Linked DNA regions of Sus scrofa. The protein of the gene in region 2 purifies or fractionates together with the protein of the main gene of each other region. This does not show direct contact. Links are inferred from orthologs where the notes say so. Each region holds a gene or a part of one and is shown on either strand. Other genes may lie near its edges. The genes, in order: CUL1 and FBXL15.

Region 1 (3,810 bases), on a different chromosome or scaffold from region 2:
GAATCCCACTAGGAACCATGAGGTTGCGGGTTCAGTCCCTGCCCCTGCTCAGTGGGTTGACGATCCGGCGTTGCCGTGAGCTGTGGTGTAGGTTGCAGACGCGGCTCGGATCCCGCGTTGCTGTGGCTCTGGCGTAGGCTGGTGGCTACAGCTCCGATTCAACCCCTAGCCTGGGAAACTCCATATGCCGAGGGAGCGGCCCAAGAAATAGCAAAAAGACAAAAACAAAATCAATTCTCTTGTTAAGCCACTCAAGCCTATGGTATTTTGGTATGGCAGCCCAAGCTGGTAAAGACAACCACGTAACTATAATTTCAGGTCACCAGCTATGATTGAAAAAATAAAAATCATCAAAAAAAAAAAAAATTCAGGTCAAAGTGAAATATGGTCCAGGTCACATAATAGCACCTGGCAGGCCAGGAAGCACTGACACAAATGCGGCCGAATGAAGAAATATGCAACAGCAAACTAACACTTAAAGTGTTCTGTCCTCCCGCAGACCCACCCAAGGCCAACAAAAAGCTGAGTCTGGGCTTCACCACTTGCAGCAATTCTTGGGGAGTGGAGACAGAGCTGAGGTCACGGGTGCAGGAGCTCGGAGAAGACACTTGGACGATGTGCCAGGCTCAGCTGGAGCAGGAGGGGCTCTATGCAGCAGGGGAAGGGTTGGCAGAGCATGTGAGGCCTGACCTGGGCTTGTCACAACACTGGCGGTGGGGTCCTTGTGGTGGAGGGCGGAGTTCTCACGGCACAGAATCCATGTCATCCATTGTCTACTCTGCCCAACTGACAACCCAGAACTTTAGTGACTTAAAACTGGCATTTTTCCGGAAAACATTACATTTACCTTTAACTTAGAGATCATGCTTGCTTCAGCATCATCGCTGGCGCTATTCTGATGGACAAGCCTCTTGGCCAGCATCTTTGCATAGAACTTCTGGAACACATCTTTGTCCTCTATGTACTTGAAGACCACCATCTAGAAAAGCCACACCAGAGCACACTTAACACACTTACAAAGACACTGTCACCAAACCCAGGCCAGAAACAAACATGTGTGCTCCGTTTTGTCCAGCCCTGTATGCCACGCTTACAATACTGCCCCATTATCTTTAAGGCAGGTATTTTCATCAATCCCTAAAATTACGTGAAGTCTAGACTGAATACAAATAAGGAAAGTACAAATGCCAAAATTAAGGACTTAATATAGGGAGTAAAATCATAGATTCAAAATAAAACGAATGCTTCTACTACTTTCCATATTCCATATGCCTCATTTAAATAACTGAAAAGCCACTTGTCAGAGAAAAGGCTACTTGCACATTGACGTGACCCTGGAGCTTCTTACCACTTGATTGAGTGTGTCTTCTAGCTCTGCTTCTTCTGGGTTCTTGGAACTGAAAAATTTTAAAAGGTATAGTGTTTTAAAATAAATCAGGAAACATTTATCAAACAAGCACCACTCAACCAAACCACATTAGAGTGTGGTTCTGAACATTCAAGTGGTTAGTTCTCAGATTAGCACGGGGAAGAGGGAAGGTTTAGGCTGTCCTACACTTTATCTCTCTTTCATAATCTGTTCTTCCACAGAATAATGTAGAATATCCACAATGGATCTCAATAGATGATACTTATTAAAAGCTTCCCCAAACATTCTGAATCAAGTTTTCCTTTAAGATAATCCATTTAAACATGCCTTTTACTTTTCTAATTGCTTTCTATATAATACGCTTTAACTTAACTTTGAAAAAATAAAAGGCCTTTTAATGGCCTAGTAATTAAAGATAAAAGAGTTTGTAAACTACCTCTAAAGTGTTGCCTTACATGTCATTACGTCCACAAAATAGATGGTTGTCCTTTTACAACTGCTTGATTCACTCTAGTCTATGAATAAATATTAACTGAAAGGTGATTGCAGGGTAAAAATTTAAAGCTTTTACTCCAAGAGACCTTAATAAACAAGACCCCTATAAAATCCATATAAAATGATCCAACCAGCAAACAAGCTCTAAAGACGTGATCCTACTTAAGAATAGTTGGCTCAGGAATTCCGGTTGTGGTTCAATGGGTTAAGAACCAGACTAGTATCCGTGAGGATTGTGGGTTTAATCCTTGGCCTTGCTCAGTGGGTTAAGGATCTGGCAATGTTGCAAGCTACAGCATAGGTTGTAGAAGCAGCTTGGATCCTAAGTTTCTATAGCTGTGGTATAGGCTGGCAGCCACAGCTTCAATTCAGCCCCTAGCCTAGGAACTTTCCATATGCTGTGGGTACAGCCCTGGGCGGAGGGGGGAAATACTTGGCTCAGGAAGCCCATTCTTCTCACTGATAGGTCAGGCCTGTGTCTCTTTCCTGGAAGAGTTTAACTTAAGTGTCCCTGGAGTCCAATCACTAACATACACTTGTTAAAACAGCACTCAGAACTATCCACCATTCTGCCTGCTTTAGCAGCCTTAACTAAAGAATAATATACACCAGGAGACTTGATGAGGACCATTTATGAAAAGACAAAAAGTCAAACAAACTGAAGCCCTACAAGAGTATCTACACATTTAAAATATTGAAAATTTTCATTTTACTGAGCCTAAAAAATAAAAGGTCACAAGAGGCATTCCAATTTAAAGTCCATTTTCACTCCTGAAATGAATACATTAGAGAATCTGACTAGAACTGCTAAATTATACATTAGATAAGCACTGCAATAGGGAGGAAAAAAATCAAATACTCAATTTGCACCAGGCCTTGGGCAAATGGCTTCCTGACAAAGTTAAAAGAGATGGCTATTGGAGTACTCAGTGGCTCAGTGGTGAATCAACCTGACTACGACCCATGAGGATGCGGGTTTGATCCCTGGCCTCACTCAGCGGGTTAAGAACCCAGCATTGCCGTGAGCTGTGGTGTAGGTCACAGACTCGGCTCAGATCCCACATTGCTGTGGCTGTGGTGTAGGCCAGCAGCTGTAGCTCTGATTCGGCCCTCAGCCTGGGAACTTCCAGATGCCGTGGGTGCAGCTCTTAAAAAAAAATAAAAAAGGAGATGGCTATTAACCTTATTAAATATTTTCCCATGTCAATCAAGAAGACCACATTGTTGTTCATATAGCTCTGTTGTTAAAGTCAATTATATTCCATCTGCTACTACTGAGCCATCCTTGCATTCATTCCTAGAAAGCTGTCCTACATTCTGAACAATTATTCTTTGGTTCACTGATAAATTTAGTTTGCTAATATTTTACTTAAGATTCCCCACATCTCTATTTCTAAGTGAGACTTGTTTGTAGTCTTTCTCTTGGTAGTGTAGTTATTCTCAGTCTTTTTCATAATGGGATTATATGAGCCTTAGAGAGCTCCTTAAAATTTTTTAATATCAAACCCCTCTAACTGGGGGCATGGAAAACTACTGCAACATGTGTTGATGTGATATCTGGATCACTAAAATAAGCCTGGAGCATTTCTAAACTGAAAGCTAGTTCAGTGAAAGAGAAGCTGGGGCAAACCAAAACCCACACAAAAATTATTGAGAACTTCAAAAAACACAACGCAGAGAATCAGATTATGGTGCCTCTAGTGATCAATACACATACAGTGATTAGGGAAATATCAGTTGAGAAATAAGATGCTCAAAATATACAGACTATGAAAAAGCAGTACTAAATCAAAGTCATTAAAGGAAGATAAATGTTAAAAGTACACAGAATAATGAGAATACTGTAATATGGGAGAGTCTTCTGTTTTAAAAAGCAGCCAGTGGGAGCTACAAAATTTTCAACTGGAAAAAAATTAAGCAAGGCCAATAGAAAAGAACAACTAGGG
Region 2 (4,323 bases):
CCAGCGCCCCCAACGCGCGGCGGCTCAGTTGCCCGCAACCGGCCAGCGCCACACTCCGCAGCTGCGGATTTCGAGCCAGCACGGGTACCAGATCCTCGTCGGACAGCCATTCGTGACACGGCGCCAGCGCCAGCTCCTGCAGCCCCTCGGCATCCCGCAGCAGCCAGGCCAATGCGGCCCGGGGGATCTGCGGACCCACCTGCGGGCGGGGAGGCATCTCGACTTTCAGATGGTCTCGTGGGCTGGCGCAGCCTATCCGCCCCTGAGTTCTTCCACGGCAGCAGGTCTCCCTCGGGCTTGCCACCTACCCTCCCAATAGAGACCCTACGCGCCCTCTAAGCTGATTCCCAGTACTTGCCCTCCTCGCTAGGTGGATCTCTTCCTGGGCATTCCCGGAGGCCCAAGGGGGGTCCAGAACGGAAGGCAGCGGGGCTGGGGGCGGGGGTTCAGGGGTAGGGGCAGGGGGTTGGGGGCTGGGCTGGAGGCGGGGCGGAGGCGGTACCCAGAAGGGGCGGGGCTCTGGCTCCTCACCTGAGCGGCGTCGAAACGGCGCAGCCCGGCCAGGTGCAGCTGCACTAGCGCCCGGAAAGCCCGGCTGACGCGCTGTAGTCGGAGCAGCTGGCGCAGCGGCACCCGGCTGAGGACGTGTGGGAGCAGCACATCTTCCCAGGGCAGGTCCAGGAGCCTGCGGGTAAAGGGGCGTTGGCGGCGGCGTCCCCGGGCCGCTGTTACCTGTGAATCCGCCTCCGTTATGCTTCTGAGCCCTGGCTCCTAAAGGTGATCCCCAGACCCGGCCTTGGTTCAGCTCCCCTCCCCCAGGTCCTTCTTCCTTCTCTCGGCCCCTCCGGTGCTCGGTACCTGACGGCTCCGGGCTCTTGCTCCCCTCCGGACGGCTCCATCGGTGGCTCCATCGGCTGTCTACTGCGCGTGCGCAGCAAGGTCTTCTTGCTTTGGCCTTGGAGAGGCCGCAGCGAACCCGCCTCCTTGGGCTGTAGAGACAGACCGATTCAATCGAGTGCCGGCTCACTGAGGATCCTGTTTGAAAGCGTTCCGGATGGATCCCGAAACTGAAGGCGGAACAGACTGGTGGTGTAACGTTAGACCTCGCCTTATCCGCTACAGGGCTTGAGACCCGAGGCTGAAGCACGCGATGGTGCAGCAGAGCTGGCTTCTTTTTTTGTTTTGGGCCAGTGGCCGCCTCTAAGTAAAGTGATGGGAGGAGCAGGCAGAGCCAAACGTAGAAGGGGCGGGGCCAGGACTCCAAGGTTCTGGGCCCTACATTCTCTGCCCTCTGGTCGCCTTTAGTGAGTTTGAAAAACGGAAAGAAACTATCCTGTCTCTGGCATGTAGTGAATGTCCAGTGAGTTGAATGAGCAAAGCTAGAATTTTCCTTCTTTCATCAAGCAAACTTGCCCAAACCTCCCATCCTGGCTAATTCTGAAGTACAGAGCTATCCAGCCCCTTCCACTCCTGAAAGATTTGGAATGGGTTTACACCTTGGGGAGAGAGATGTAGGAGGCAAGAAGGGCTATAGGGACTATATCTCCAGCTAGGTCTCTTTCCTTTACTCAAGAGGTCTAGAGTCCTGAGAACGAATGCTCAGTTCAGCCCGCCAGGAATGCTGCTCCTCTTAGTTGTAGGATCTGAGGCTGGACCCGCCTTGGGGCAGTGACCGCCCCAGAGCTCTGGGCTCAATCTCCGGGCCGCACTCTCACCGAGTCCCCAGATTCTAGTTCCAGGGTCCGCTCCAGGGAATTCCTGGACCAGTGCTTTCCCCATCATCCATTTGAGGGGAGGGTGTGAAGGACGCCGAGGGATACTACTCTCTCTCAGAGTTCTCCCACCCCTGCCCCCAGCAGGATTGCCCTCTCCCTTCGCGCAGCCCTTCACCTGTCCCTTTTTTTTTTTTTTTTGGGGTCTTTTTGCCATTTCTTGGGCCGCTCCCGCGGCATATGGAGGTTCCTAGGCTAGGGGTCTAAATGGAGCTGTAGCTGCCAGTCTACGCCAGAGCCACAGCAACGCGGGATCAACGCGGGATCCGAGCCGCCTCTGCAACCTACACCACAGCTCACGGCAATGCCGGATCGTTAACCCACTGAGCAAGGGCAGGGACCGAACCCGCAACCTCATGGTTCCTAGTCGGATTCGTTAACCACTGCGCCACGACGGGAACTCCCACCTGTCCCTTTATAACGAAAACTGCTTCCCATCCATTATCTCATAAGGACTTTGGGCGCCTGTGCAAGGTGGGCAGGTCTGTTCTATCATTCCACTTTAAAGATGAAATCGAGGTCCTGGAGAGGAAGCGCCTTGTCCGGGGCCAAGAGAGTCGAGAGAGAGAATTCTGGCATCCTGGTTTTCCCCGAATCCCTTTCACACTCCTCTACCCTCCCCCACCCCGCCCATCCACATGCTGCGAGAAGAGAGTAAACAGCAAAGGGAAAGGACAAAGGAGGGTCAGCTTAGGTAAAGGACTCGCTCTGTTTTCCTCCGACTGCCTGGGGAAGGGTGGCTGAAGGAACAAATCTTTGCTAAGATTGAGTCAAGTGAGCGCGCACCACCTAGGGCCGCGCGCCTCCTTCCCCTCCCCGCTTTGTTAGCGCTCCTGCGCCTGCGCAGTGCGACAAATCGGGCGCTGTCCCCTTCAGCACCACGCGGAGCCCGCGCCTCCCCTCCCCGCGGTGAGCCCCGCGCGCCCCCGCCTCGCACGTTCTCGCGCCCCTTGACCGCCCGAACAGACCCCTTTTTTCCTTCCAGGATCACCACCTGTCTGTCTTGGAGTTCGCAAGGAGAGCAGTTGCTATAGTAACTCTGGCGGTGCTTTCTTAAAATAGCTGGGCCGCTTCTACCTTGGCCAAGGGCACAAGGGTTGTTTCTCACTTCCTCTAGTCCAGGCGTCATTCCTTCTAATCTCTTACCCCTACACGGGCGGGATGCCTAACTCAGGCAGCAAGGAAGTTCTTTCTGAAGTCTGACTAACGTCCTTCCTGCTGCATCCCGGGCGAGTGGTCAGGTTGTCTCCTGGGTCCTAGACTCAGAACCTTCGGAGGTTTTGAGGCGGTGTTCCCTAGATCTTTCTTCCATAAGTTGATGGTCTTCTGGATTTAGGGGGCGGGTCCAGTCTACATCGTACGGTGTGCTGGCGCGGCCGCGTGCCCGTGGGGGCGGGAGCGCGTGTGGCATGTAACAGGTCATGTGGCAACCTCCTAGGGACACGCAATGGGGTCTTGAGCGGGACACGCGTGTGCAGCTGGGTCTGCGTGCTGTTCAGGGGGTGGTGGACAAGAGAGATGTGGACACCATTGGGGTTGGGCATGTGAGGATCTGGAGAAGAAACCGGAGGTTCCATACCACCTCCCCCTCGTCAGGGGCGGGTCTCAGGTTGGCGGGAGAGCCCAGCGGAGATCTAGCATCGTGAAGGAGGACAGTCTCCGGGGCTCAGGGCTCAGGGCCCCCGGGGAGAGGGCGGCGGGTGGGTGGGTGGGTGGGGGGATTAGCTCTGCCTGAGCCGCGCGTAGGGGGTAGGAGGAGGGACTGAGAGGCGGGCGGGCCTGGAGCAAGCAGGAGCAAGCAGGAGCCGTGCTGCCTTCACAGCTAGGCTGGGCCCAGCCTCTCCCCTGCCTCTCCTCGGCCCCAGCTCCAGGCGAGCAGCGGTGAGTACAACGCGGCTCGTCCAAGGCTGCACTGGGGGGCGCGCTGGGGCCTGATTGAGCTTCAGGAACCTGCCTGACAGAGTTGCTGCTCCTGACCTCTGCCCCTACCCTGCATTGACGCCAGAGGCCCCTTTACCCCTTTACCGTCCCTCCTGGTCTGGACAAAATCTGTCATTCCGACCCCGGGGACCGGGGGGAGTGAGGGGGAGAGAAAGGGAGAAGGGTCTGAGGCAGCCTTCCCCTCCATAGACTGGTGACTGTTGGGGTTAGGGGAGAGGGTCTATGTCCCTGCTTAAATATATGAGTGTGCATCTATATTTCTGTGTGATTGTGCCCAGTAGCTCTCTGTGAGTATCTGATATGCATGTGTCTCTGTGTGCCTTGGAGAAGGAGGGCTTGTGTGTATATTTGGGTATCTCTTTGTGTGTTCTTCTTTGATGACACTGTGTGTGTAAAACAAGCATGTGCCTTTCCATTACACACATATTTGTTATGACTGTGAGAGTATATGAGGGTGTGTCTTTGAGCAATGTGTGTGCTTGTGTCTGTGTGTGCTGGAGGGTGTTGCCTATGAATGTGTTTAACTGTGTACTGACATTATTTTGTCTTTACGTGTGTGTGCGTGTGGGCACCTGTATGGAGAACAAGAATGTCTCTTTCCCATTCAGCA

Evidence for each region.
Region 1: the proteins of FBXL15 (region 2) and CUL1 purify together in Homo sapiens (affinity purification with mass spectrometry; 9 studies listed by BioGRID and IntAct, counting the BioPlex papers as one, with this or other methods). This does not show direct contact. The link is inferred for Sus scrofa from reciprocal best matches to the Homo sapiens genes FBXL15 and CUL1.

Annotation. Positions count from the first base shown.
Region 1 is NC_010451.4:109,468,502-109,472,311, forward strand, and holds part of CUL1 (cullin-1), read right to left. Parts: intron 1,398-3,810; coding exon 1,349-1,397; intron 980-1,348; coding exon 848-979; intron 1-847. UniProt on the Homo sapiens protein: Core component of multiple cullin-RING-based SCF (SKP1-CUL1-F-box protein) E3 ubiquitin-protein ligase complexes, which mediate the ubiquitination of proteins involved in cell cycle progression, signal transduction and transcription.
Region 2 is NC_010456.5:113,428,897-113,433,219, reverse strand, and holds the start of FBXL15 (F-box/LRR-repeat protein 15), read right to left. Parts: upstream 3,052-4,323; 5' UTR 2,902-3,051; coding exon 2,767-2,901; intron 990-2,766; coding exon 859-989; intron 686-858; coding exon 532-685; intron 200-531; coding exon 1-199. UniProt on the Homo sapiens protein: Substrate recognition component of a SCF (SKP1-CUL1-F-box protein) E3 ubiquitin-protein ligase complex which mediates the ubiquitination and subsequent proteasomal degradation of SMURF1, thereby acting as a positive regulator of the BMP signaling pathway.